Linked DNA regions of Oreochromis niloticus. The protein of the gene in region 1 interacts with the protein of each later gene in a pairwise test. Links are inferred from orthologs where the notes say so. Each region holds a gene or a part of one and is shown in the gene's direction. Other genes may lie near its edges.

Region 1 (7,220 bases):
CTAAGTCTATAAATAACATGTCAAACTGTATGCTAGCTTTTAAACACTAATGTTCTTAAGCATGAACTTGGTGTTTTTATGCATTTTGGTGTGACAACGAAAAAAAATTTTTTTAATAAAATTTTGGCATTCCAGATTTAGCATAGATAAACAACATCAGAATTGACGAAACTAAACAGGAAATATGATGATGCCAGGGAGGTGTTAATAGGCTGAAAATTATATTCTCGTCTGTTTAAAGAAGGAAAAATGAGCAGCAGGGGTAAATAGCAAGATGAAGGTACCACAGAAGACAAGAGAAAAACCAAAAAAATAAAAATAAATAAATAAAAGAAAGACACTTCGAGAATGCATGAGTTGCACTTACCACAGGACACTTTTTGTGGCGCTGGTGGTGGAGGCAGAGGCAGACTTTCCCTGCTTGTTTTCTTGGACTTACGGCTCCAGCCATTTCCCCTCTTCTTCCTCCGCCTACTTGCACATGGCCCAGCCACAGGAGTGTAAATACCTGAAACAAAACATATTGACTAAGTTCAGGAGTCCAAGACAAAAAGAACTGCAAAGGACTATTTATAGCTTTTCATCCAAATTTTACTGCTCATATTTGATCACAACTTTCAACAAGAAAAATTCCTGTTAAGATCATGGTGTGTACACAATGTTCTTCCCCACACAACACACCGACCAAAAAAAAAGTTTTAACCACCAAAAATTATTTTTAAATATTATTATTTTAATTAGGGTAATAATCACTGACATATAATAATAGTCAGAAATGCACAAAAGGCACCGATTTATGTGGGGAAAAAAAGTAGCAGCTTCATTGCCTTAATGGTAGAGGGACACATTTTGCATATAAGCAGAGTCAATCAGGGCAAAGAAGGCCAACTCTGAACCACAAAAAAATCTGGCACACACACACACACACACGTTTTCAAATCATCATTAATCAGCTTGAAAACACTTAAGACCGTACTTCGGGTTGGCCAAATACTAAAGAGCAGTAAACTTACCAGTTTCTAATTGATGTGCGAAAGATGTAAGAGGAGTTTCTGTCTCCCTGCAGCTGCTACTTATTCCAGAAGTACACACCGACTCCGTGCTTTCTATCTCATACCTCTGTACAATTCTCTCTGGAGAAACTGAAAAGCATAAAAAACACACAACACATAATGGCAAACTATTTGAGATCAACTACAGCAGGACATAATCTCAAGATCCTCACCTGTCCTCCTTTTCTTGTGGGACACTAAGGGTAGCAGGTCATGACGGGTAAGGACTCTTAGAAGTTGCAGTAGTGGTGCCAGGTTTCCATCACTAAGGTATCCTCTCCTCTCGAGCTGTAGCAACAGCTCAAGGCCACTCTTGGGTTTTGGATCCAAAAAGGGCTGCTGTGACACCGTAGGCTTTAATCGCTGCCATGCTTTTAGCAGCTGTGGACTTGGGGCCACACCTGGATCATCTGGATTGTCCTCACGGGGTTCAACTGTCCAGCCTGCTGGATCGAGAGGATGTGTTGCGGAGCAAGTTTCATTCAGAAGGAATGACAGGACTTCAATGTCAGTCTCTGTCAGCTGAGAACCAACTACTTCAAAGACTTCATGGAGAGACAACATCCCATAGTAGTTGAGGCACTCTGTTTCATCCCAGTACAGTGAATCCCTGAGCGGGTACCCTTGATGATGCACTGCAGCCATGGTCAGGATTTGGTTATGGACCTTTCCCACTTTTCAGCCAGTGATAAGACTACAAAAACAAATACAAAAACAATTACTATTAAAGGTTTTTAATGTCTAACAAGATACATCCGACTAACCATATAAACCAGATAAGTAGGGTTAGGTACTGAGCTGGTACTTTTGAGGGAACTGACCAAAAAATGTCAGTGCTACTGTTAATCAGCACCAAATTCTGGTACCAGAAAAAAATCTGGGTTAGTGAAAGAAAGAAAGTAAGTGTCAATCCTGCTACAACTGAAGAGGAACAAATGACAGGGCAATGGTAGTGGTGGAATGCTGAAAGCATTTTCAGGTGTGGTTACATGTTTCAAAACTCTCTCTGACACTTGTAGCGCAAAGTCCAAAGCAACACATCTAATCTGCATTTACACCTGGTCAAACAAAAATAGATCTAAAGCTGAAGAGTGTGCCATATTTTCTAGCCTGAAAGCCAAATTCACCAGAGGTCCTGCAGCTTTAACTCTAGCGCAACTGTAGCCAAAGTATAAGAAATCGAACCAATGGATGACAAAGCTTTTAGTGAGACATTGACATCTTCTTCAGGTAATAACTAGGTAGCTGGACAAGATGTCAGATAAACAGGGCTGTTTTCACTGCATTTGTTGACATTTTAACTTTTCAGCTGGTCATTTGCGGCAAGCAAACACCTTATGAGTGATGATATGTCCAAAATATTATTATCTAATAAATTGCCAATAATAGCACAACAACATTTTACACACCGCCAGCTGCCTCAGCTGTGAAAATGACCATCAGTGTTTGTATACAACAACATTAAACAGCAACGAAATAAAATGTTTCAACTGAAAAGTATGGACTTATTTTGTATGAGAAACTTTTGGATTTAAAGTATAGGGGGGAAAAGGTAAAAACGCCAGCATCAATCATCAAATGTAAAAGATAGTGAGCCCCACCCAGTGTACAGTAATATATTGGGATTTTTTTTTTTGCACATCTAAAAAAATTACTTTTTAAACAAGGTTACTGAAGGTGGAGTTAATTAACTAAAGACTATAATATATTTACTAAAGGACGTGGCCAAACATAACAGAAAAATTCATGTAGAGTCAGGTTTTCTTTAACAATTAGTGGATCAAATTGTCCGTATGTGCATAGTCACCCTCCCCTAAAGGCCTGTTCTGAGCTAGGAAAAACCCTGTAATCTATGTACACATAATGGATTGTACTTAGCGTTCCTGTAAAGGCTGCAATTCTCATTTAACAGGTTTGACCTCGAGTTTCTTCCATGTTCTATACTCCTACTTTTATTGCATTACATACGTAGCACTAAAAATGTCATCTGTGTCTGTTTAAGCTATAAAACGCTGCTCCAACAAAACGGTCAGACAAATCCCGTGTAGCTACATATAAACTGTATTTATCTATAAAACCCAGCAGGCCGTTTGTGCTATGTAACACAGTCAATGATCATGTTGGCGTAATACTGCAGCGTTACGCCCGTTCTCTAGTCTACAACCATTATATGGCTGCATCAGCTAGCTCAGCAGTCCTTGCCATTTTCACCCTCAATTCGAAACATTTTTTTAAACACGTAACGGAGGACCCCCTTATAACCACTTTGTTTCCATTCAGGTTCAGTAACACACACTAACCAGTTGGAAGCCAAAGATAGTAGCCGTTCTTCAGACGCCCAGTAACAACCGGTGAAGCAAAATTTTCCCCTTTGACAAGTTATGTAACCAGTCACGTTTGTCTGTGGAAAAAGCATAACAAACATCAAGAAGTGCAATGCAAAAAGCGGTTTAGCCAAATAACAAACCTGAAATTAACAGGTGTGCTACATTGCTAAATACGTACTGAAACACATAGGATTAACTATACGATTAAAAAATATTTTTTTTCCTCTGTATGCATTAGCGATACATACAAAGGACAGAAATGGATATCGCTTGCTAGCTCCTAACGTTAACTTACTTCAAATATAAATTGGCTGTAGTATCGACGAGCATTGGGTCACATACATGAAAGCGTGAAAAAATGCACCAATAGATAAATATTCAAAGCATTTTAACGCGATAATATTCAAGAAAGCCAAAGTAACTAGGGGGGACTCACCTCCGAGTGGGCTGAATGATCTAGTAACTTCCACAGCAACGTGCAGTTCTGCACTACGTCAACGCGGAGGAATTGACCAATCACAGCCCTCTGACTTCCACGGCGACGCCCAGTCACGTTTTTGCTCTCGCTGATCTGCCAGTCTTCTTTTGAACTGATCTGAAGACAGTTTTTCCTAAACAGTCACTTTGTAGTATTGAGCAAGTCAGTAAAGACAGCTGATTCAAGGGCGCCCCCTCCCCCTTTTTTAAATTTTACTTTTTTTGTCTTAGCTTCGACGTGAAAAAACAAAACAAAAAACAAAGCAGCACTTTAAGCGAGCTTTGCTGCGAAGTGTCCATAAGCATATAATCACAAGAATATATGTACTGCTGCAGGCTACACCCAAACATAGGAGAGGGAAAACTGCTGGATGCTGTCAGTAGGTGGCGGTGTTTGGAACCAAGGCAGCTAGGAACAACAACAAGGAAGGCAACTAAGAGCCACATCATATCCGTAAACTAAAACAGCAACAAAAGGTCTGAGGCAGTCCCGTTAAACTCATCTCCTGCTGTGAGTATATGTAATTAAACCATTGTAAATTTGGCAGTTGATATCGTTCATTTTTATTTCGGTTCATTTTAATTAGGTGTGTAAAGTTGGGGTACGATAAAATCATAAATCCGCTTCGGCTGGAGTGGTTGTTAGCAGAGAAGCTAACTGCGACAGTATTTGTACAACCAAGAGCTATTAAGAACAACTGGGAGATATGATGGACTATATACCGGGGTTTAGAAATGCCATTCAGTTAGGATACTTAACTGATTAAAAATAAAATAAGTGAGTATTCGCTGGAAATTGTGTTGTGGAATATCCGGGCGTAAGTTTAGTGATGTGGCATTGACCAAGCCCTCTTGCTGACGAACATTTTCCTCTGCCTACTGTTGCTAAGCTCGGTCTTTTGAGTGTTGTTTCTTCAACCTCTGGGAATGACAGGATTGAGAAATGCAGGAATATAAAAACTGGTGTTGGTCACGAACTTCATACACTGGCTGATCTATGTATAAATACCTTAGTTAAGAATTTATCTGGAGATAAACAAAGAGAGGGAATCAATTAAGTGGTGCCATCACGGCGCCCTTCTTCTCCTTTTGACTGTTCTCTTTAGGGGTAACCACAGCAGATCATTTCCCTCCATCTCACTGATTATATCCTTCACCACATCCATGAACCTTCTCTGAGCTCTGAGCCTCCACTCCTTCCGGCTTCACTGTTACGTCTGCCTCACTTTCAGTCACATGTGTTCTGTCTTACTTCTACCGAGTTTCATGCCCAGATTTTGGTGTTATAATATGATGGTTTAAAACAACTTATGCTGCTAAATATAAATGTCTAATGGGAGTCAACATCATAAGTATGTGTAAAATTGCATAGCAGTTTTTTGTGTGTATATAAAAACAAATTGGCACCCCTCAAATAAATTTAATCTCTTTTGCTAATTGAGGTTTATTATAGTCAAGCTTAAAATACTTTTTTTAATGAGCTTCTCAGGAATAACAAAAAATGAAAGGCATTGACAGCAAAAGTATGAACCCTAAATGTAAACCTATATGAGTCTTACTTTGTCCACCAGTGTTGTTGTGTAGGGGAAGAAAGCTTTTTTTTTTTTTCTTTCGATATTATCTTGAGACCAAGTCAGTTTGCTTGTAGTGGGGTTTTTTTTTCATCTTTTGTCTTTTTGAATCTTGAAGTTTTTACATTTTGATGAAAATTTAAATTTGATAATGAATCAAAATAACTGCCTAGATAAGCGCCTGGTGGCATTTCAACATTTCTGTCCATTGGGGAGATTTGCTTGTAGAGGGACTTGAGAATTAGTGGTGGAAATGTTTTACAACTGGTATTTACATTCTGTGTTTTCTTCCTTGCAGTTGTCTCACAGCAGACTGTGTACATGCCGTCTGGAGTGCCAAAGGGGGAGAACTGTCAAGTGGACATGGACAGCAAGGCAGGAGATCTGTTCACAGCTGAGGATGCTCATCCCACAGGCACAGGAGGCACAGGAATCCTGGCAAAGTATGAGTTAAAATGTGTTTGTCTATCACAGATTTATCACACAGTAGAACTGACATGTGCTTCTGCATCTGTCAAACCTGCTACTAATATTGTAAGCTTACTGAGCCACCAAGTGATAGTATAAATTTTGCACGTAATGTCTTCATCTTATTTCGTAGGCTCTGGCTTCCCAAAGGCTTCTCAGCTAGCATGGCTAAAGAGTGGTTCGACAAGCGCCGATTGTCCATTCGACCTTGGGCCAGTTTTGTAGACCAGCGCAAGTTTTCAAAACCCCGCAACTTTGGAGACTTGTGCCAGAGGGTGGTGAAGAATGTGGAAATTTACAACAGCAACTACACCTTCATCTTCTTGGGGCTTATCCTCTACTGCATGTAAGCCCAAAAACATGACTTTGTTAGGAGCTCATAAATCTGTTTTGGCCAGTGAGAAATGGAAAAAGTAATAAATGATCGAACTGTTGATGTTTCCTCTTTTCAGCATCAGCTCGCCCATGCTACTGATCGCCTTGGCTGTGTTTGCCGGTGCCTTTTACATCATTCACATCAAATCTTTGGAGTCTAAACTGGTTGTGCTTGGTGAGTAAAAGTGTCTCAAATAACTCAGACACCTTCACATAAATACCTGCTTGTTGATTCACCGACAAATAATATAAATGTTTCTTGGGCAGCTGCTTTTAGATAAACCTAGCTTGAATAATTAAACATCAAATTTTAAGTTGGCTATCTTTATTCATCTATTTACTTATTTATTACCACCTTTAATTTTTTGTGTATAGAAATGAAATCAATGGATTAATGAAGCGATCTATTGTATAATTTTTTTTTTTCCCCAAAATTGTTGTTCTCTACTATTACAGTTCTCAGTAGCAATAATGTAACTAAACCACAAAAGGTCTCCTTTAAAGATGTCAGTTTAGTGAAGAGTAAGCTAAATTTATGTAAGGAAAATAAAACATCTTCATTTTTATGGAATCTTTAATTGCTGTCATAATTTATGTGTTCTCAAACCTTCAATTTTAATGTGAACCAGGCCGAGAGCTGAATACGCCTCACCAGATGAGTCTGGCTGGAGCCGTTTCTCTGCCTGTGTTCTGGTTGGCCGGAGCTGGAGCTGCCGTGTTTTGGGTTCTTGGTAAGCCAAACCACATTATACTTCTTCCATGTTACTCTTCTGAATCTTTGTTTTAAAAAAAAATATCAATAATTCTTATTGTGTTTTTCTGATTTTGGAAATATAATTAAACATATTCCACTGCTGTCTGCAATGCTAACATCTCTCTAATAGTGGAACCTAAATCTTGTTCATGCATTTGTAAGAAAAACCTTCTTCTTTGTTACTTTCCCTTCACAC
Region 2 (7,884 bases), on another chromosome or scaffold:
TGAGGTGGACAGAGTGAGGCACTGCTGTAGTAGGTGCTGTGTTATAATGAAGCCTACTGTGTTGGTCTTCATCTGTCTGTATCACCCAGATTTTTAAACCTCAAAGAAATGATCTTATTATTAGTAGCAAAATTCTGTCATGTACCAGAAACATGGTTGAGAGGTATCACGTTTTATTAGTTTAACCTCACATACAGTATTTCCTGTAAACTGTCAACCAATATTTACTATTTACTAGTACTTTTGTATCTATATTTTCTTTTTGAGACTGTGTTCAGTTTGCTTTCTATTTCTTTTGCATTTGTATTTTAAAGTTCACTTGAAAGCCTCCACTAATTTCTTTGCAGAAGAAGACTTTATGTCCAAAACACGTAAGTAGCTTTATTTTTACACTCAACAGTACATAAAGCAATTAAAATCAACTCCTCCTCGATGAGCTTCAACTTAAAAGTGCTTCATGAAAATGCAATTAACGAGAGCCACAGTCCTGCATAATGAATACTTTTAATGTTGGTGCTATAAGTACATTTTGCTGACAATGCTTTGGAAAGCAGGATTTTTAATTTAATTAAGGATGTGAATACTTTCTCCATACATACTTTTTGATTCTACTTCAGTTTTTCATTGTGTTTATGAGTTATCATGTTGTGTCTGCCTTATGTGTATTACCCATCCTGGATATTTGTGTGTATTTGTATTGTTGAAGCGTGTGTTACATGAATAAAAGTAACCTGACTCTACCTGACTTGCACCCGCATCAGAAGCATATACGTCAAAATGTTTAATGGCACTGCTTCCTGCAGATTAAACCAATATTCATGCTACTTCTATCCACTCTAACATTTACAAGCACAATGAAGATGAATTGCATGCACAGCAGCGACAAATATCAAGAAATAAATAAAATATCCAAACCAGATGAAAGGCTGTTTATAATTGGGTTAGTAATATCCCTGGCACCGTCTGCTAGGTCATTTCCTTCAATCTCCCTGAGCAACAGGGGATCATACAGGCGACACTCAGAACAGGAAGTGTCTCGCCGCTCCGTGACAGGCTGCCTTCTTGCATTCTCTCACCTTCTTCAACACCAATTCAAATACAAGGAAGCCGGGAGAAAAGACATCTTCACTCGCACTACACCCGGTGATTTCACAAATCCTTTAATGATTTCTGACCCTTTTTGTGGACAGCGAAATTGTGAACTCATGCACCCATAACTTCTCACTTAATCTGTATTACTCTCATCACAACAGAGCAAGCCACTCTATCAGTAAATGCTAATCTCCTAATTAACAAGCTAATTAGGCAATTACAGCTTTGCAGAAGGATGCCTAAATGAAATATGACAACACAGTCACTTTCCACAGCACCTGTGGGTCTTTTCAGATGTCACGATGAGAAGCATGATGACAAAGTGTTGTCTCTGCACTCATAGGTGCTTATTCCTATGCCTCGCTAAGCACATTTGTAAAAATATTGTCATTTTATTTAACCTAATATGCAGTACTTGTGGAAACAACATGTCAAATTACGTCTAAATTATTTCTCCTCAGATAAACTGACCTGCACTGTTTTCACACCAGCAGCAGTGGTTAGCGCAACCCCTCGGTTATGTAAAGATGGTTTTGTCAACTAGTAGACCCACAGTGTCTTACTGTAAGGAGCTGTCACATACGGAAATGAATTATGTTGACATATGGCTGAAAACAACGGCGAATAGGCCTGCTATGCAATGCAATGAAGAATCATGCACTGCAACAGAGGAGAGGAGTCGGAGCCGTACCTTTGAGCCCCTCTTGACAGGTATGCAGTGTGACTTGACAGCTCAGTATTTCAATGATAAATGCAGTAGTCCTGGGACTCCCATTCACTAAACTCAGGAGTGCATTGCTCCCATACTTCAAGGTCAAATGAATGAGCAAAACCACACAGACCACTAAAGACAAATTAGAGTTTTTTTCGTCTTCACATGTTGAAATTGATTGTGATGTGAACATTTCAAACTTTGGAATTTGGTAGATACACTAATGCAAACTTTCAGCATCAGTGATTTCCTTTAACTTGACCACGTCAGTCGATTTTATTGTGAAACAATTATATATTCATTTATAGGTAAGGTTTTCTGACCTATTCTAGTAAGAAAATCAGAAGCTGAAAAGTTATTTTAAGTAATGACTCACCGTATCATGACTTCAAACGAATTTCTTTCAGTAAAAGTTGCTTCCTTTTCACAACTGAGTTCTGACTCATGAAGATGAATCATTCGCTAAAACTATTCACTATTTTAATACAGTATTACGTGGACCCCTGACAGCTGCCAGGAAAATATTCAAAAAGGAGCACTTCCTGAAGTAATAAGATGATTCTAATAATGCTGAACAGATAATGCAGTGATGTAAAATATGGTCATGCCACATTGTATCTATCTTTACCATCTATATGAGACAGGTAACTTTCACAGGTGTCATCAGAGCTTAAAATGCGTTAGCTATGTGTGACATCACTATTATAACGCGCTGTTTTTGAATATTTGCCATAGAGAAAGTAAAGACCACACACTGGATCACATCAGCGAGATTTCCACAGTCCACAGCCATAGTCTCAAACCCATAGTCAGTCTCTTACTTTATTCCAGTGTCAGCTACACACCTATAATATTTTGCAACTGCATCTTGCAGAGTTGTGACTATCATGTTGACAAAATCTGTCAACAGACACACAGACGAACACCTGCCAAAGCACTAAAAAACGCCTTTGTGGTGGTTTCTGCAACATTGTCTTGACGACCACATTTTGTCACAGTGACACACACACACACACACACACACACACACACACACACACACAGGTAGACGTACACACAAAGACAAATAGAGCAAGGTTAAAACAATATCAGCTGTTACTAGTAGATATCAAACTTTCATATAAATGACAAAGACACTTAATCAGGGAGCTACAAACATATTCAAGCTTAAGAAGAAGGTGGTATTTTGTGAAGCTGCCATAGCCCCCAGCAGTCCCTCTATTGGTCAAACAACACACATCTTTGATTCCTGCCTTCATTTTGAGCTCAGCATCACATCTGTAAATCTTTGAAGCTTTATACTGTACAATTGCGACACTGCCGTGTTGACAAAATCTGTCCACAGACAGACATACAAACACCTGCCAAAATACTCAGAAGTGCTTTTGTGGTAGTTTCCGCTACAGTAGTTGTCTCCAGGAAGACAGTTTTTCATGATGACGCACTGACAGACTCACAAGTTGAACATGATGCCAACTTTCCATGTCACAGTAACTTCTGGTGTTCATCAAATTCAGACTTACATTTTCCATAAAATGAATGAGCTCTTTTTCATTTTTTTAAAAAAATCTCTTTCTCTTTATTTAAAAGGATCAACACAGTTTAATGAACATCAATATACCAAATATGTATATTTGTCAACTATACATGACATGTTTAAAATGCAAAGATGTCACATTACAGAGAAACTGGTAGTTTACATCTGTAGACGCAGGGCAGGTCAACATAAACCTTTCAAATAAGCAAAACCAAACAGATATATGACAAAAACAAATAAACTTATTGTCATTCTGCAAGTCTATTTACTTTTAAATTTTGCTTAAAAGAGTGATATACATGCTGCACATGCATGATTTAGTCTTTTTTACATCTATGATTGTTTTTGGCAAAAATGTTACAGTTTTTCTCTACATTTGATGTTTCATGAATTAAGCTAATTCCAAATCTGATAAATATGTACACATGCAACATAGTCAAAATTACAGGCAGATGTTGACTATACAGAACATCCTGTTTGTATTTTGATGAAATTAACTGTGCAAAAATAACTAAATAAATAGATATTTTAAATGCACATGTTCACTCAGTGTGCTAAAAGGTGCTTTTAGAAGAATCATGCTACATCCTGGTATATTGTAAAGTACTTTGCGTCCACAGTACAAATCAGCAGGCTAGTTTTTAAAAAAAATTATTTTACTATGAGAAATCATGCATAACGTAAAGGAAGAGTGCGCTCACAGAGGGGCTCTGCCCAAGTTTGAACCCAGGAGTCTGGCTGTGAGGCAGACGTGCTAACCGCTGAACCACCATGCTGCCTGCTGAAACTCCCACTTCCATTATTGATGGCTGCACATTCACCTTTGAACACAGTTACCAACTGGATATAGCACTTTTCTTCAGAAGTAATAAATAGCATTTTAGGCAGCGTTTCTGCTTTTTCAGAGGTCCAGTGAAACACTGGATGGGCCACTTTAAACTACTTAGACGTCATTTATTCAGTGATGTCAGGGTGGAAGAAAAGTGGCTGGTGGAGAATTTAACAACTCACTTGAGCAAACAAGACCATATATTGCAACACGGCCGTGCTTAAATAATGTTTATGTGACTTTGTCACTTCATTGCAGGGTAATCAGAACCAAGCAAAGCCTATTCATCAAAAGTTCACCATTAACGTCTTTGCACAACACAAGCCCTCCTTTGAAAATGTGCTTTCTTCGTATAAAACTCTGTCCACATCCTTTATTCCTACACGTTATCGCTGAATTCATTTTAACTGAAGGGAAACCCCCTATTTTCTTTTTTTTTTCTGATCTCGATGCTTATAGTAGAGGTGCACTGTATATTTGCTGCCATTCCTCCGGCTCAACAACTTGTCTGCTGCCATAGCAACTGCGAAGGAGCACAGAGCAGCGCCGCCTGCTTGTGCAGTGGATGTCACTCGTAGCAACGACCAATCAGAAGTTCCCATCCTTTTGTAAGAGCTGTGGTGAAGATGGAGGGATGAAGTGGGTGGGCTTTCGGCATCATGCATCTGCCAGCATAGGACGCGGAGCTCGTCAGTCTTCGTCATTCTCGCCCGGGATTGGTCGAGGAGCTTTACTTTCCAATAATATAAACATGTCTACTGCTTGCCTGGCTTGAACCGAGGCTTACAAGGGACTGTGCAGTTCTACATCAAACTGTATAAAAACTCTCATTATGTGTTTGCTTGTATTGCTGCAGAGCTAAATCTTTGTTATTGCTAGAGAATATGCACATAGCTGCACGTGCACGCGTGAGGAAACGAGGATACCCTGCTGCCGCTGTTGCAAGAAAGAGAGGGGACTCAGCCGTGCTTTCATCATTATAATCACCATCCTAAGTACTAGCGCTTAACATTTTGTTTTTCGGTGTTCAGGCGAGAAGTGACAAGAATATAGACCCCTCCTCTGCAGGGCGGAGCGTGCATTTTCATTTCGTATTTTGTATTTTTTTTTTTTTGTGATTATTTTTTTTCCTGCCCTCTTCCCTGCTCTGACACGTCTGCACTGAGTGAGTGGCATTGGCACACTGTCAATCGCTCACTACCGCTGCCATCAAACAACATAAAACACACACAGGCAGAGGCTGGAGCTCATAAATTTCAGAAGGGCAAGATATTTTTTTGCGCATCGCCTTTATACAGCGTTGTCTCCTAATTAATTTCTTCTCGCCGTTGCTTTTTTTTCTAGGCAGAAATCTCCCAACTTTTTGTACATTTCATATTTTTTGTAGTCACATTTGGAAACCTTGCTGCAGATTGTGTATTTTTTTTTAAATACTGTCAGTTGTCGCGGGGATAATTTCTGCACATTTATAGTTGACACCTGCGAGCCTAAGATTGTTTTTTTTATTTGTTTACACGTTTTCACAGCGGATATCTTTTTTTTTTTTTTTTAATTTTGTTGCCGGTGCTTCACGAGGAGGATTTGGACATTTTCGAAAGGAAATGCGCCGGGAATCCCACGAAGAGCGTTAATAAATGAGAGACCACCAAGGACCGTTTCTGTCTCTACCGCCCGTCAAAACCCAGAGAAAAGACTGATTGCTATGAGGATCCGTGCGGGATGTGATGGACCGTCAATTTTGACAAACAAGTTTTAAAGAAGAAGAGAAAAAAATATTTATGCGATTTTCTACAAACACAGCCAAAATCAGCGTTTTGGCACTTTGGACCGCGCGTAAAGCGACGACAACTTGGACACAAGATTTACGCTAAATAATAATAATAATAAAAACTGCTGCATATTTTTGACAAAAATCGCGTGTGTGCTGCCTAACGCCGAAGAATCACACAACCGTACATCCTTCCAGTCTGCGGCACATGTTGTAGCCGATTTCGTATATGAGTTTTTCAATTTGTGTGGCTCAGTGCACAGACTCTTTAGCGGCTACTATGGACGATCAAGCCCGGATCATGCAGTCGATCGGCGGTGTCAGTCTGGCTGGCCACTCGGTACAAGGAGGCATGGCACTGCCGCCTCCACATGGACACGATGGGACAGACGGAGACGGAAGAAAACAAGACATTGGTGACATTCTGCATCAAATAATGACCATAACTGATCAAAGTCTGGACGAGGCGCAAGCAAAGTTGGTTGATTTATATGTTTTATTAACTTCGCCACACCAAAAAAAGAAAAGAAAAAAAAAAAACGCCGAACGCATCATTATTGAGATGTGGCCCGTTTAACTTAACTCCCCAATGCACAACAATAGGCTGGAGTGGCTTTAATGATAATCTCACTCTGAGGTGTATTTATTGCCTCGCAAAGCTTTAACACAGTGAAAGTTGCCACTGAGGGAAGCACAGCATTTTAGTTAAACTGTCCTAGAGAGCACGTGTTTTATAAATGTTCATTCATCTACAAAAGTCTACGTGGTGTTGAAACACAATTAATGCCAGTGGGCTCATGTTATGCAGGGAATTGCCACTGAGACTAATATTTACATTAGGGCTTGGTGTTATTTATGAAATGCTTTTATTAAAAAACCCCCCAATAAAAATAGCATGACACATTATACATTTTAGAAGAAAATGCTAACTTTCTGAAGAAGAGGCTTGGAACATTGGAACATTATTAAAGTGGCAACTAAACTTAAAAGCGTGTCCAACCCTTTTAACTGTTTGTGTCAGACATGTGAACTATCATTGAACTTATTTCAGTATTTTATTTTCTCTTATACTGAAACAGGAAACACGGACTGAACTGTCACAGAATGAAACCAGCACTCTTCAGCGTTCTCTGTGAAATCAAAGAAAAGACAGGTAAGATCTTTGTCTAAAATACTGTAATATCAAACTATAAACTCCATCGTTACAGTGATACATGCAATTGGAGAATCAATAAAAGCACACAGGCATTTCTTATTTTATTTTTTTACCTCTCAGTGAGCTGATGACAGCCTGCATCCAGGTTATAGGTGACCTCTGACCGAATGAATCAGTCACTTTTTAAAAATATGTCACCGTACCACTCAGAAACTCCCGTTGTCACGGAACAATAGGCAGAGTCTTCTTCCACTGAAGATGCTCTTTTTTTCTTATGCAAGTGTGTTTTAAAGCACTGGTTTGCTTGGATTTGAACATAAAGTGCGCTCCAGATTTCACACTCACCACCCTGCCAGTGAAGAGGCTGGGGGAGTCCCGTAGCATATGCTCTACATATCCTAGATCACACAGAATCCATGCTGTAAAACCTGACAACGTTTTGCTATCAACTTATAAGAGATTTTTTTATTAGTCAGATTATACGACAGGCTCGCAAATTCATAATTCGATTGCAGTTGTATGAAAGCCTTCCTGCAAAGGTGGATGGTTGATCTTGGAAAATGCAAACAACACATCTCCTGGAAGCTTAGTTAGAGAAAGGGATTGTGAAATAATAATAAAAAAAATCTTCTTTTTATATATTTATATGAGCATAAACTCTGTTATTTCTGTTTTTTTAGGACTAGGATTGAAAACCTTTAGCATGCACACACACTTCATTCATATATTATTGAGAGTTGTAATTACAAGTTTTGTGTCATAATTTTTATAGCTTGAACTTTGTGTATTT
Region 3 (6,882 bases), on another chromosome or scaffold:
CGCTTTAGAAGCAGCTCGGCGGCTCCACAGCGACACATGTGTCAAACTAAACGCTGCTTCCGTTCGCGTGCTGTCTCCGCGTGTTTGCTGCAGAGCTCCGACTGAGCGCCGGGTATCGATTTCCATTTCTATAATCTATTCAGTTCAGTTTTGACTCAGACAGTCAGAAATATTCTAATTCTGATTATTTATCAGTTCATCTCCATATTTTTATATCTATGTATAAACCAAAGCTGACACTGTGAGACTCCATCAGAGGTGTGAGCATCACAGCAGAGGCCTTTGTGTCACAGTAACTGAGGATAAAACAGAAAATCACGAAGCAGATTTTCCTGGCCTGACTTTTTATAGCAGATAACCTTAAAATATTCTGCAGTAGATCCAAAACAGAAGAAAACCGTGAATGAACATGTGAACATGACCTGATGCAAAGTCACAGAGGTTTGATTACAGACACAGCTGAGCAATCATTTTGTAAAAGTTTACATTTCTTCAATTTGAACAGCAGAAATGAGGCTTTACTGTCAGAGGCGGACAGCACTGAGCACAGCAGCAGGCTGGTGCGTAATAAGCAGAGAATAATGCAGAAAACAGAGATTTGATGGTAAAACTGACTCTGAGTGCACTGAGAGAGAGAGAGCTGTGCAGGAAGTAAAACAGCCAAAGTCAGAGGGAGTTAATGAGCATGTTTATCAAGTGTGAAGCGTAGTTCGGAGCTTCTTTTTCTGCAGGTTCAGTGAATTTTGGTTGGAGAGACAAAACCTGCAGCATCAGAATCACTGAGCTTTCGTTCTTCAGCCCTGACGGCGCGTCCGTGACGTCAGGTGAATGATCCACGCTCTCTGTTTACATGTTTCGGCTCTCGTTTACCGTTTTGGCTGTTTGCTGGTTGTTGAAATAGTTTTGTGAGATTTAACCTGAGATTTTAGCGTTTCTAGCAAAATACATTTACATTTAAAAATCGATTCAGGATTTAATGCATCGAAATCACTTTCTTCAAACTAAAATCGACTGATTTTTTAAACCCACTCCTGCTCTGACTCCATTTAAGCTCCTTTAAACAATTTTCTGTGTAAAAACTAAAACACCTGATTTCCCTCGTTTCAGTTCCCCTGGAAACAAACTTTTTAATTTTCTTTTTAATTCCTGAAAAAAAAAAATAGTCACATGACTCTTCATCTACCCAGAATGCAGTGCAGACGCATGAAGAACAATATGAATGATATTTCAGAGGGAGACATGAAGCCTGACCGTCATCAACACATTAACAGATTAACTCTGATGGTTTTGAGTTTCTTAAACATGAATATGAAGAATATGAGTTCGTCTTCATCACAGACACGTTTTATTGTTACAGACATCAGATAAAATTCATTACTGTCAACATTTGTTTCACTGCAGCTTCTATCGCTGCTGCGGCCTTCATAGCCCGTCTCCTGAGCACGATGGCAGCAGTTTGATGGCGCCGGCGTCTTTCAGAGGTACGGCAGTGCGATTCAGAGGTCACACGGTTTCAGCCGCACTCTTTGGGTTTGGAGAAGGAGCCCAGCTGTTTGGTGTTGACGTCCCTCAGCTGCTCCAGCTGCCGCTGGCCCCGTCGGTACAGATACTCGATGTGCATCACGTCCGTCTTCTTGATGCGGGAGTTCTCTCTGAACTCGTCGCGGATTCGGGGGACGAAGCCCGGTTTGTCCCGCCCGGCTCGCAGGAACTGCCGGTACAGAGCGAGGACCTGCTTCTGCAGCTTACTGTGCCGCAACATCAGACCGAGTCAGCAGAGACAAGAGTCCAATCAGAGGGCAGCTACGCACACATGACGCTCCAACACCGGCGTGTCTCCGGCTGCACTCCCTCACACGTCCACTCTGAACACACCACGAGGCTCAGCTTCACCCGTTTCTTCTCATTCAGGGTCTTAAAGAAGATGTTTGCCTGCAGGAAGAACACAAAGAGAACCGAACAACAAAACAGCATTCAGGCAGATTCATCACGTCACGGTCGCTAGTTTTATTCTCCCACAGGAGAAACTGACACCTTGAAGACACGACAGAAGGCATCTGCTCACCTGCAGCTCCACATTTGAATCCTGCAAGAACAGCTTTGCATCAATCAAAGTTCAAAATAATCCTTCTTTATCTCATGTTCTCTCTCTCAGCCTCCTAACATGCCTTCCTCCTCTCCTCCTCGGACTTCGGTCAACAGCAGCACAGTTTCCCCTGAGCCAGACTGAATATAACAAATCTTCTCCTTTTACCTGCTTGTTTTTATTCAGAATGCATTCACTGGAGTTCTGATGAAGGAACACGTTTTTGGCTCTCGCTGTTTCTGATCTTTAACAAAGGCACAGATCTAACAACACAAACACAGCTGTACTTATGTGTGTTTCATATTCCTGCACAAGCATGAACGTGCACGTGAGCCCAGACTGTTCACACAGGTGTCGACCTGCACGTAAAAGCACGTTTTTATTTCAGTAAAGACTCTTCCTCCGTACTTTTTTTTTTTTACCTGACTGCCTCTCCTGATTTTCTCATCCCTGATTGGTTTCTGTGATAATTGAACTCACCTGGCACACGTTATAACAACAACAGAGTTTAGGTGTGTCTGTCTCTCGCTAAAACACATTTCAGCTAAAATAACATGAATAAGTGATCTTTGGATTCTGATTGGATGCCCATCCTTTGACCCTCCTGAGTAACAGTTTTTACAGTAACACATACAGTAGTATTAGCATTACTTATATTATAGTACTACACGCAGTATTACCAGTAGCTATGGCTTATGAAAGTAACCCACAGCCGGTATTTGCCAAAAACTGATTGCTCGTATTTAAACTGCTATAAGTAACTTGTTGGGCTATAATATGTGAAACATATGTCAAATGCATCCCTCATGGATGACATAAAGTCATCTGGAGCCACAAACAACATTTGTGTACCAAGGTAGAAGCTGCAGTCAGTTTTTGCCAGTGACTTTTATATAACCTTTATTTATGCAGTTAAAAAGAATCTCATTAACATTAAAAATGTCTTTTGTAAGAGTAAGTTGGCCAACAGGACAGCAGAGATGGCAGCAAATATTACAATAGTTCTGTAAAAATATTTTAAGTGGGGATAAAGGAGCGGATTGGTTATAATGTAAGTACAATAACACAGAGTTGTAAAGATACTTGAAAAACAGATAATATTTTAATTCTATATAAAACCCCTTTGTAAACGCTGTTCACCGAAGTCTATTTACCAACATACGTAAAGATATTACACATAAAAAATACACGGAAACATTGGAAATCAGTCTTTGGCACAACACCAGCGGCTGCTGGACCTCAGAGGATTGATCAGTGAGAGCGATCAGTTCAACTTCCTGTTTACCTGACGGAGTTCCGCTCAGACCGGTTCGGACCGGCTCCGCTGCTTCACCTGTTTGTCCTATTCCACCGTCACAGGTACGTCTCCCGGCTCTCTGTGAGCAGCTCCTCTGTGACCTTACTGCGTTATAACACCGGCCTCAGCCGCAACGACCAGGACAAACTACAAAACACGTGATTTCCGGGTCAGATTTTCACAATAAAGCACGCACACAGACAAATTAAAGCTCATACCCGTTTTAAGAACGCTGCTCCTGATTGGTTAGAGCTCAGTTACCTTCTGATGTGTTTATCTGAATCTGGACCGTCCAAAGCGCCCGTGGGGGGGGGGCTGTTCGAGTGGGTTAAAAGCTCTTACTGCGGCGGCGCGGAACAGGAAGATTAGTAGCACTTCCGGTGTCACCTTCTGGAGTCAAATGTCAAGACAGGCGAGCTGAAGGAGGGGGGCTCGTGCTTTTATCACCGGCATCTGTTTCCGGGGGGAAGGCTTCGGCGATTTATGACGCCGGTACCTGCGGAGAAAGTAACGAAGTACTTTTAGTGAACTACAGTTTTCAGGATTCAGATCCGACAGTAAGAGAGGAAGCTCTCCCAGCGTCTGTCACACCTGGTAGACACCAGAAACACCACACCTGGATCACAGGTGAGCCTCCGCGCGCTTGCAATCACAGCCTCGAGCTCTGCGGTGTTTTTTTTAGCTGATGAAGACGCTCTCTGTTCTTCCTCTTACAGACATGGAGATGACAGCTGAGGAACAGCAGCAGGTGGAGGAGCAGGTGGAGAGGCTTTTAAGTGGGCAGGGGTCAGAGGTCACTGTGTGTGATGTGGGCCTGGAGCAGAGCAAACCCGCCACCCTGAGGAAGAACGTCACCTACATCGTCTGTGCTGTCATCTTCAATGAGAAGGTGAACAGAGGTCACCACAGGTAGCCACTCCGTCTCATCAATACCCTTAAATGATTGCTTATTTAATTAATTAACACTCCTTCAGGAGGAGGTGCTGATGGTCCAGGAGGCCAAACCGGACTGTTACAAACAGTGGTATCTTCCTGCTGGGAGGGTGGAGGTGGGGGAGAGCCTGGAGGAGGCGATGAAGAGGGAGGTGAGTGAGGAGGAGCCTGTAAGAGTAAGAAGCTGCAGCTCCTCCAGCGTCCAGCAGGGGGAGCAGCGAGTCAGGCCCCATAGACTCCCATGTTAAAACAAACCTGTTTACAGCCTGATACACAAACAGTTTGGTCTCTGTGGATCATATACTCCTTCATAACAGCTGTACACGGAAGAGCGTTTCTATTACTCACCTGTTCAAATTGTATTCAGGCTTAAAGTTTGCATTATTAGAGGCGTGGCCTCTTTGACTGACAGGTAGATGGTGGTACAGGTGGCTGTAGCAGCTAGCTGTCTGCTAGGCTTCACCTTAACTAATGGGAGTCCCTGAACTGGACCCCTGGACCCTGTTTGTGCTGTTGGACCCTTTTGGAGCTTTTTAATGACATCATGTGACCAATAATATGCCTGCTGTGAGGTCACTGTTAAAACAGAGCATCCAAGGAGGCGGAGCTACAGTTCAGATATTACTGAGCACTGATTAGCAGATATGTGTTTGTGTGATGTTTGCATAAGCTCTGTGAATGCAGCTTGCCAACTTTCTAACCAAGATATGCCAAATACGGTCACTTAAGGTTGAAAAAGTCAAAATACTGAAATAACAGTTTGTTTTTTCATTGGGTAAGCACCGCCTTCCTTGCTTGCCCTGACAGAACAACACTGCTTTACAGAGATCAGGGGGCGAGGAGGAGGAGTGATCTGGCTTTAACATCAGTGTTATGTCACCTGTGTGAACATGTTTGTTTTTTGTATATCAATAAAATGTCTGAAAAATCATAATCAGAGGCTTTGCTTGTTTTGAACCTTTTTAACATTGGAGTCTATGGGAATAACTCGCTGGTGGAGCCCCAGGTGGACGTTAGAGGAACTGCAGGTTTTGGTGTTTCAGTTTTTTCTTTTTTAAAAAAAAACTCTTTTATTACAGTTTTTTCTGATGGCTTAAGCACATTTTTTGTAACTATTGGCTATTTTTGCAAAACTCTACACACAAATAAGAAAACTCTTCACCCAATCAGCAAAACATTGTAGTTTCCTTGTAAAAGCGAATAACCTTTGCTTAACTCTCCACACCTTTGTAAAAATGGTATTTTCGTATCCAACAGTTAACACAAGCCATCATATTAATAAGCACACAATGCACCAACTACACACTGATGGTATGAATGAAAACACATCTGGCTTTTGCTTTCTCTGTGCACAAGGTAGGCTATGTCAGATTGAGCTCATACTTTTGTCATAGATCCGTAAGCATAGAGGGATCCAAACTTCAAGTACTGCTGTTTATTCACACACATCAAAACAAACACAAGTGTTTATTTCCAAGTATAGGATTATTTCCAATCACCATATTGACTATATGGGTTTCTTGGTCTGCAGTGAACATGCTTCCTCTGCTCCCAGCATCTGGTCGTCTAGCAATTCTGTAAAGTAACAATTTCAGTATTTTTACATCTATGGTATTGTTGTGTTTCTCATTAGCATGGCAGTGCTACAGATCTTAGTGCAAAGTGACTGTACTAACCGACTCTCATTTCAAAATGTCCTTATGATGCTTGCTACAGTGTAGCGGCTCGAGTTAGGCTGAACCCGTTGGCCTCCTCTAATTCTCACTCTTCCTGCTCCCTCCATTGTACTCCACACACACAGAGCTTACCTGTAGCTTATTTAAAGTGCTTAGGCTGATTGCAAAGTGATCTAATGATCTAAAAAAGTTTTCACATGTGACAGTGTGCCAGACAGTTGGCAAAATAGTGTAAATAATGGCTATAAATGTGTAAAGTTTTGCTAGGAGTGTGTTGATCATTTGGAAATTGAGTGTAAAGCCGTGAGTTGTGTGTTTACAGTTCTGCAAAAAGAGTGCTGTGCAGTGGATTGTAGCTACAGGTTTGCAAAGTGTGTGTTACAAAATGGCAAACTGAGTGCAAAGCAGTGTTTGTGCTTTTAGTTTTGCAAACTCAGTGAGTGGTTTTGCCATAAGTATTAATAGTTTTAGAAATTGTGCTATAAGAATCACAGTTAGGGTTTAAGCATTCAGAAAAAACTGTAAGAAAGTACATTGAACATAACAGTAGTATGACTCTCTACATTGCTTTTGCTTTCAGATTTGTAAACTTATAGTTGAAAACCCCCCCCGTAAGAACTTGGGTTGGGGGTAGTGGGGTAGCCAAGTTAGCTTCGCGTTATTAGCATGGGTATTTCAATCAGTGCACGAGCATAAAAGTGGCAGGCTTGATAGAAAATCCCACCTCACAGGCTCAAACATATTCTGTAGAAGGTATCCGTCTGCACTTTGAGAGAGAAAGACAGTTTTTCCATGGTATAGATGTCTTCTACAGAATATATCCAGTCTTCAGTCAGGCTTGAACCATCTCCTCGTGAGGGCCTGTTTACTCACATCCGGCAGTCCCAGGA
Region 4 (7,452 bases), on another chromosome or scaffold:
TCAATATTTAGCTTTCGATGTGTGAAGTTCCATGTTTACATGATTTGGGGTTTGTAAATTATGTTTTTATTTGTTTCTGTCTTTGCGCTGTTTCTTTTTATATCGTTCTGTAATAAGCCTTGAGAGCAGGATCCGTGGACTGACTAGCACACGAAGGCTGGCCCGCACACTCTCAGGACTGAGGCTGTACTTCCACACACTGACTACAAACTTAACGTCACTCCAGACTTTTTAAGTAATGACGGGAGAAATGTTTGCAGGACTTTCAATGACGAGACAAAACTTTGCCATGTGAGTGAAGTTGAACCAAAAAGTGGAAATTTTTTTAATGAACACCACACGGAATTTTTAATGTACATTTTTGTGAAGTGATTTAAATTTCCAGTTAAATATAGAGATATCCAACATAATCCTGGTATGAATACTGAAGGACTTATCATTAAAAAAACATTTAAACAATTTCTGTGTTTAAATGTACAAGTTGACTTGTGATTGTTCTAAGAGTTAATCTCGAAATTAAACTTTTCCTTTTACTGGCCTTTTGATAACTTTATGTTAAATGAAGGTAACTATGCGTACATGCTCACTTCTTTAAAAGGAAGCTACATAATATTTAGCATATTTAATGTCCTTTACTGGTGGTAAGCTTGAACTGAAAGAACATACAACCGGTTAAATGATGATGAAGTGCCTTGTTTAAGAGATCCCCAGAGATGGTATATTTTGTGTGGAGAGTTTCTTCTGTTTGAGCTGGGCTGTGTATTTACATTTCTTTTCATTTCAGACACACACAAATGCACATGATGTCCATTTATGGAGAAGTAAGCTGCTACAAAATATATTTTCTATATAGATTGAAGTTATAGAAATAATGAAAATCAAAAATTATTAGAGTGAATGCACATGCAATGGTAGTCTGCAGCTGAGTCCATTTTTTTATACTGCCTTAGACATATAGATACATTATAGATGTATATTTTTACAGGAACTCAGAAGCCTGTTCTGAAATGTTAGAATTTTGTCTAAACGCACCTAAACAGCCTCACCAGCTGCACATGACCTTTGTGTGCATGTCTTTGAATTTAAAGTCTTTAAATTAGGTTCGAGCAACGATTATACAGACTAGATTAGAAGATTGGAAATTTGGTGAGAGATCCTGAGTCAGCTTTTAACATTAACATTAAACATTAAATTAAACGCAATGAACTTCACATTGGACAAATTCAGTACAACGTGATCTAGAAGAAGGCGTTACAGTAACATATATACAAAGATGCGCATACAAAGGATTGATGAGAAAAGCTCAAACAGATGAAACGGCACAAAAAATTAGAATAAACCCTTCATATCAGCCTAGGAATGACCACAGTGGTCTGTTTAATAAATGCACTAATGATAAAGAAGTCTCCACAGATCAACCATAATCAGGTTTAACCGTCCATCTCCAAACAACCCTAGTACATTTGTAAATCTTTAGCATGAACACCTAGTTGAGAAGGATTTGCACTGGAAACATCAGACTGGCGTAAAGTAATAATGATGATCTCCCACCTTAAGCTGCATTGATTATTGTACTGATGTGTGACTAATGCATTTGCTGCATTGTACGTTGTCTCTGTTGTGTTTCCTGAATCTTACATATTTTTTTTGGCAGGGTTGTGCAATATGGTTTTGTTTTCATTTCTCTTATTTGTTGGAAAAAAAAACCCCCTCTTTACATCTCACAGATCAGACCTTTAACTTCAATAAAAATCGACACCTGAAGAATGAATTCACATGAAGGTGTCACAAACCATTATACTGTTATTTGCCTTTCTTTAAATTATTTGTTCCAATTTCCCAAATGAATCTTCAGTGGTTTTAATGAAATGTGCAACACTGATATAAACACAAAGAAAAACGTTTTGAATGGAGTGTACACAGATACAATGCAAAGATGTTGAATACAGAGGTTCAAGAACAACTTGAACTACCTACAATAATTGTGAAAATCTCAGAATGTGGACTGGCTGAAACTATTGGACTTATTCTAATATTTGTAAATTTAAAATTGAGCAATTTAAAAATAAATGTGACCTAATTTGTATTAATTTTCACTGTTTTAATTGAGCATAGTCAAAGAACAACCCACTGGAATTTGTTGTGAAATCAAGTCACTTTATTTAAAAGCTGGGCAATGAGCTTTGTGTAGGATGTGTGTGTCATTTTTTTAAAAAAATAATTAAAATTCAAGCAACTTAACGTTTTATAAGTTTTATATCATAATTTGATCATTTCTTTGAGTTAATATTAAAATGTCAGTATTAGGGCTGCCACGATTAGTCGACTAGTCACGATTACGTCGACTATTAAAATCGTCGACGACTAATTTAATAGTCGACACGTCGTTTGAAGCTTTGTAAGATCCCAAAAGACGCAGGAATAAGTAGTAGTATTTAAGAGTGTAATAACGGACTGAAACAGAAGATGGCAGCACTGCATGTGTAAGGATGCCAGCTGCCGTTAAACCCCGAAGAAGAAGAAGCGGTGTCCCAGAATTCATAGCGGCCCAGCGCAGTTGTCAACAATGGCGGCAGCTAGTTAGTTTTAATATTACTCTTATTATTTTGGGGGGGGGTCACAAAATAAAGTTTAACATATTTTCAGGCCAGAATGTAGCTGTTTAACCTCAAATATCTGCTCAGTTTATCAAGACACCACGTATTTTCAAAAGCACTCCGACGTTTTCAGAGACGTCTGTTACCCACCAGCTCGATAGTTAGCCAGGGTTCAAGGCTCACTAGAGCCTGTGAGAACAACGGACTCCCGGCAAATCGTTTTCAAACCCACCGCTGTCTTTCTCTACTCAGGTTAAACATGTAATATAAGTCACTTAGATAACTTAAAAATGTTATTGTTTGGCTTTTTTTAGTATTTTATTTGTTCCTGAGTAAATCCGTTTGGCTGAGAAAAGTTATAGGTTTTACACAGCTGAATAAACGTCAAGCAGACAACTGATTATCAGAAGTGTGAGATGCTCGAGAGTATACTCTGGTGTCCTGTTACATTTTAGATAGCAAGGAGCAGACGGCTGAGTTTATTAAACTCCACCGAAACAATCTGCAAATGTCATTAAAATTTAATAAACTATCATCTTGTCTTTATTTTTAGTTAGCACATACCTTAAACACTTAAAGCTGTAAGCTAATGATAGTTATATAAGAGCAGATGCATGCTGGTGCAATAAACTGTACGTTTTACGTTCAATGGATGCATGATCTGATTAGTCGACTAATCGCAGAAATAATCGGTGACTAGTCGACTATCAAAATAATCGTTTGTGGCAGCCCTAGTCAGTATAGGAAATTGATTTGGGTACATACAGTTACAATAGTGGACGCTAATATTAAACATCAAGCAAAAGGTTCATTTAATGAGGCCATCCCCCCTCTTCTCTTGGTGTAGTATAAGAGCATATCTTGCTGTGAGCACAGGAGCCCCACCCACCTGCTGTTCAAACCTTCCATTTGCAAGGGGCAGCCAATCAGAAGAAGAGTCATGGCGGCTTGTTTTAGGCAGATGAGTTTGCCCAGTGTGAAGTAAATGAAAACTGTGATAGGGAGAATAGGGAGACTGGGGAGAAAAAAGGACAACTGCTAGAGAAAGGACTGCCATGAAAAACATGTAAGGAATAATATATTTTAAGACTACTTAAGCATAAACTGTGGGAGGAAAGTGTTTGCACATCGCTTGTATATTGACACAGCGTGAGTTAAATCATGTCGGTGTAGCCCCATCTTCATGCACCAGTCCACAACAAAGTGCCTCCAAAGTGTAGTCCCTTTTCTAAATCACAAGACTTCTAAAACACATGTTTTTAAATGGAGCATGAAATTATTTTAAGCACACATAATAGCTCTGTAAACTCTGCCCAGGTCGTTGTTTAATATGAAAAACTACTGTGCTCTGTGTCTTCTGTATACAGTAAGTAAATGTTCCTGGTGTAACCAAAGCTTACCTGTAGTCTTCTGCTAAGCTGGTAATCATATTAATTAAAGTATCGTTACAGAGTAATAATGTGTAACAGAACAGAAACTGTGATGAGAGGGTACTGTTGTTCAACACAGCTCACCAAGTTATGCAGAAACCTGTTGTTGGTTTTTACTTTTTAAATTTGCCAAATCTTCTTTTATGTCCGCTCAAATTATGGTTGTCCAAAGTAAACTATATATAACTATAATTTTTTTCACAAATCATTATCAACCTTTCATGTGTTAAATTTAGTGCTAGTTTTAAAAACTCCGCATGTTTTACTTCTCCTTCTACGAGTAGTTAATATGTTTACTTTATTTTTAATGGGAGGGGCTGCAGAAACCAAAACACTCAACTTTGCCAGAGAAACACGTGATCTCAAATGTGTGCTCTGATTCGCTAAACAGCCTGTCAATCATTCTGAAGGGTGTGCCCAGATGAGAGTTTTGTGGTCGAAGGAGACTCTGCTGAACACAGAGGAGAAACACACGCTGAAGGAAAATGTCTTCAGTTCCTGACGGGAAGAAACTCATCCGCAGTCCCAGCGGCCTTCGCATGGTTCCGGAAAACGGCGCCTTTAGCAGTCCTTTCTCGCTGGACGAGCCGCAGTGGGTTCCGGACAAAGAGGTGAGACAAGCGTCGGATTTGGTTTGACAGCGACAAGCGATCACAGCCGTGCAGACACGAGAAGCTTAACTAAGGTTTTCCGGTTGTAGTTTCCAAAATAAAATCACCTCTCTGTTAAACTAGTGGGAATAAAATTGAAGCCGCTTACTAATGCTTGTGTTTGTCCTGCTAGTCTCCTCCTGTCGTTTAAAACGCAAAGTGCTCAAATAAAGTAAGAGTCTAGTGGTAGCTTTAGCTGTAGTTTTGATGATGTTGTATTTTATTCATTGTAGTATAACTTGAGAAAAAAAACAATTTAGTGCGCTGTTTTGTTTTTAAAATCCTGACAGCAAAAGTCACTGGACTGTTTTCACAAGGAAAATACAAGGAAACATCCAAAATTAACTAATATTTACATTTTACATTAGAACACTGATTGTTTGGGGCTTCAAAATGTAAGACCCTGTTTCAAGTTATCAGTGATAATCACAATGTGTTTAAATAGCTGCTTTTATTTGAACGATAGTTCAAGGTCCAGATATATTTATCTAAGCTGCTGGGCGTAGTAAATTTTTTTTTTTTTAAAGAATTTTTATTGTTGTTTTATACTTTAAGAGTTGTTAATCAGTGCTTTTCAGATTAATTTGCGCTGTGATAGGCTTTTATTTTTTGTAGTGAAACGGCTCTACATCCGGCTTACATCCTGCTGACTGCGGCGAGCTTGACGGCGCTCCGGACATCGCAGTTGGCCGCTGGACTGGGCGTTGCAGGCTGTCACGGCCAGCCTGGCAGCAAACGGAGCTTGTTAGCTAGTTAACAGCTACAACTAGCGGCAAACTTAATTGTAGCGTTTGTCAGCGTCAGAGTGACGAAACCCCTCTGGTTGTGTGCGTGTTTGACTACCAGCACGTAGGTTAGCTAAACAGCAGTAGGAGCTAGCCCTTCGTGCCTCGAAGGCTGTAGTTTTACTGCACTGGCACACAGTGCAGTAAAACTACAGGAGGACACACAAAGACTGTCTGTCTGCGAAAATGTAAACTCTGGCTGCACACAGGGACACTTTGACCAGACTGGCGAAGTTAATCATTTACTATTTGCTGAGCTCAGCGTTCAGATCTTTAATAAGAGGGGTAGGGATTTAAACACAAGCCTGGCACTAATTACAAACCCATATCTTTTGATCTGTCAGTGATAAATCACAAGTTTGACGGTTTAATGAACAGTTACCACTTGTCAGTAATGACCATAAGACACAAGAGCCATTAACACATACTATTTGTATACTATTATTATTTACACTTACAGCTGCAGATCTATTGTGGCTTGACTAGCTGATGATACTTGTGCAAAACTTTAAAACAGTACTTTAACCGAAAGCTGTCCAGCTCAGCATGTTGTGTAACATCCTGTTTTTTCCACTCTTCCCGTCTTTCAGTGCCCCAGATGTATGCAGTGCGACACCAAGTTCGACTTCATCAAAAGAAAGGTCTGTTTTGTTTCTGACAATGCGAACGCTGCAAAAAATCTCGACTTCCTGTCAGACTGGAAAAACATATGGTGGATAAACCAGCGTCTAGTATAAATGTTTTGTTAAACAATGTGAGGCTTTCGTTTAGTTTGTGTTGTGAATGCATAGATGAGTTACTCCTTCTTGGATCATTTAGTCAGAGCCGTGTGTTGATATTTCCTGCCAGTGTCCACCGACATAACGCTGTAAGCCTCCTGCCACCACTTCATTTTACACCTACTGAGTTAAAATAATCACCCTTACAAGTGTCTTCCATATTTGCCTCTTTTGTCATTATCAGAGCCAGCTCTAGACTGCTGCCTGAAGTCAGTTTCTAGGTGTTGAATTACACATGTCCTGTACTCTGCATCCCTCACGTCTTGGTTATCTTGAGGTTTTAGCACAGTTTTGATATTTTTAAGCTTCCCGATTCTTTAAAAGTGCAGTGAAGCAGATGTGGTTTTGCTTTGCCTCAGTCTCTTATACTCTTCTTGAGAAGTGTTTCTTCATCAGCTCAAAGTCTCTGATTAAAAAGCACATTCTGTCCAAAACTGACACACTTATTCAGAGTGCAACAGAAACCCACCAGCACAGAGGTGGATCCCTCAGGAAATCAAGGGCTTCTATTTATTTGTTATCCAGGCCTCAGAGGTCTCAACATTTGTAGGCAAGCCAAAAAATTTGGGAACTAATGTAACACATGACTCACCAAAATCAGTGATGTGGAAATTTACAGGAAATTGCTCTGATAATAAAAAAAACTGCTCATTAATAGATGTAACAACTTCGTACCATCAAAGTCTGCACAATATCCATTATACACGTTATAATAAACTTTGTTTATTAATTAATAGTGGGATCTGTTACTATAAAAATTAATACAGTAGCGAATGTGTTCCACTGCAGTCAAACTAGAATATAATACTAGAATAAAACAAGGAAAGTGGACTCTTCTATATTGTTTAGAAACTGTTATTTGAAACCATTAAACACATTTTATACTAAAAACTTTAGAGTTACTATAAGGATATCCTCCATAGTGGTTTAAAGTTACATTAAAAAAAGTTGTCCTAGTATCATGTTTACTAATTTGCAGATAATGTCTTTTGTTTCCATTTTAAAAAGTGCTGTCCTCATCAGAAATGAAATCATATCTACTTGTTTTGTTTAAATTGTATCCACTGTACACTGTATTGCTGTAAGACATACTGTGACTGAGAGTGAGTCAGGCACACAGTTGGGGGTGTAATAGAAGTTCTGATTGGTTGGAAACGGTGCTGTATCTCAGCCAGATCGTTTTGAGATTTCCTGAAAACGTCTAAAGTGCC

The links.
Region 2: the proteins of rabac1 (region 1) and pbx3b interact in a two-hybrid assay, tested with the Homo sapiens proteins (2 studies listed by BioGRID). The two-hybrid records come from large-scale screens. The link is inferred for Oreochromis niloticus from reciprocal best matches to the Homo sapiens genes RABAC1 and PBX3.
Region 3: the proteins of rabac1 (region 1) and nudt18 interact in binary tests that used the Homo sapiens proteins (3 or more experiments, as listed by UniProt). The two-hybrid records come from large-scale screens. The link is inferred for Oreochromis niloticus from reciprocal best matches to the Homo sapiens genes RABAC1 and NUDT18.
Region 4: the proteins of rabac1 (region 1) and zfyve21 interact in binary tests that used the Homo sapiens proteins (3 or more experiments, as listed by UniProt). The two-hybrid records come from large-scale screens. The link is inferred for Oreochromis niloticus from reciprocal best matches to the Homo sapiens genes RABAC1 and ZFYVE21.

Annotation. Positions count from the first base shown.
Region 1 is NC_031976.2:24,028,019-24,035,238, reverse strand, and holds the start of rabac1 (prenylated Rab acceptor protein 1), read left to right. Parts: upstream 1-4,213; 5' UTR 4,214-4,367; intron 4,368-5,725; 5' UTR 5,726-5,748; coding exon 5,749-5,870; intron 5,871-6,028; coding exon 6,029-6,241; intron 6,242-6,347; coding exon 6,348-6,445; intron 6,446-6,899; coding exon 6,900-7,001; intron 7,002-7,220. Other genes in the region: dedd1 (death effector domain-containing 1), read right to left, coding at 368-508, 1,014-1,142, 1,226-1,697. UniProt on the Homo sapiens protein: General Rab protein regulator required for vesicle formation from the Golgi complex. May control vesicle docking and fusion by mediating the action of Rab GTPases to the SNARE complexes.
Region 2 is NC_031977.2:11,506,172-11,514,055, reverse strand, and holds the start of pbx3b (pre-B-cell leukemia transcription factor 3b), read left to right. Parts: upstream 1-4,864; 5' UTR 4,865-6,167; coding exon 6,168-6,415; intron 6,416-7,011; coding exon 7,012-7,091; intron 7,092-7,884. UniProt on the Homo sapiens protein: Transcriptional activator that binds the sequence 5'-ATCAATCAA-3'.
Region 3 is NC_031977.2:38,180,224-38,187,105, forward strand, and holds the start of nudt18 (8-oxo-dGDP phosphatase NUDT18), read left to right. Parts: upstream 1-3,873; 5' UTR 3,874-4,010; intron 4,011-4,099; 5' UTR 4,100-4,101; coding exon 4,102-4,272; intron 4,273-4,357; coding exon 4,358-4,468; intron 4,469-6,882. Other genes in the region: sdhaf1 (succinate dehydrogenase assembly factor 1, mitochondrial), read right to left, coding at 1,514-1,762. UniProt on the Homo sapiens protein: Mediates the hydrolysis of oxidized nucleoside diphosphate derivatives. Hydrolyzes 8-oxo-7,8-dihydroguanine (8-oxo-Gua)-containing deoxyribo- and ribonucleoside diphosphates to the monophosphates. Hydrolyzes 8-oxo-dGDP and 8-oxo-GDP with the same efficiencies.
Region 4 is NC_031983.2:6,347,412-6,354,863, reverse strand, and holds the start of zfyve21 (zinc finger FYVE domain-containing protein 21), read left to right. Parts: upstream 1-4,437; 5' UTR 4,438-4,512; coding exon 4,513-4,638; intron 4,639-5,265; exon of another isoform or gene 5,266-5,747; intron 5,748-6,052; coding exon 6,053-6,103; intron 6,104-7,452. UniProt on the Homo sapiens protein: Plays a role in cell adhesion, and thereby in cell motility which requires repeated formation and disassembly of focal adhesions.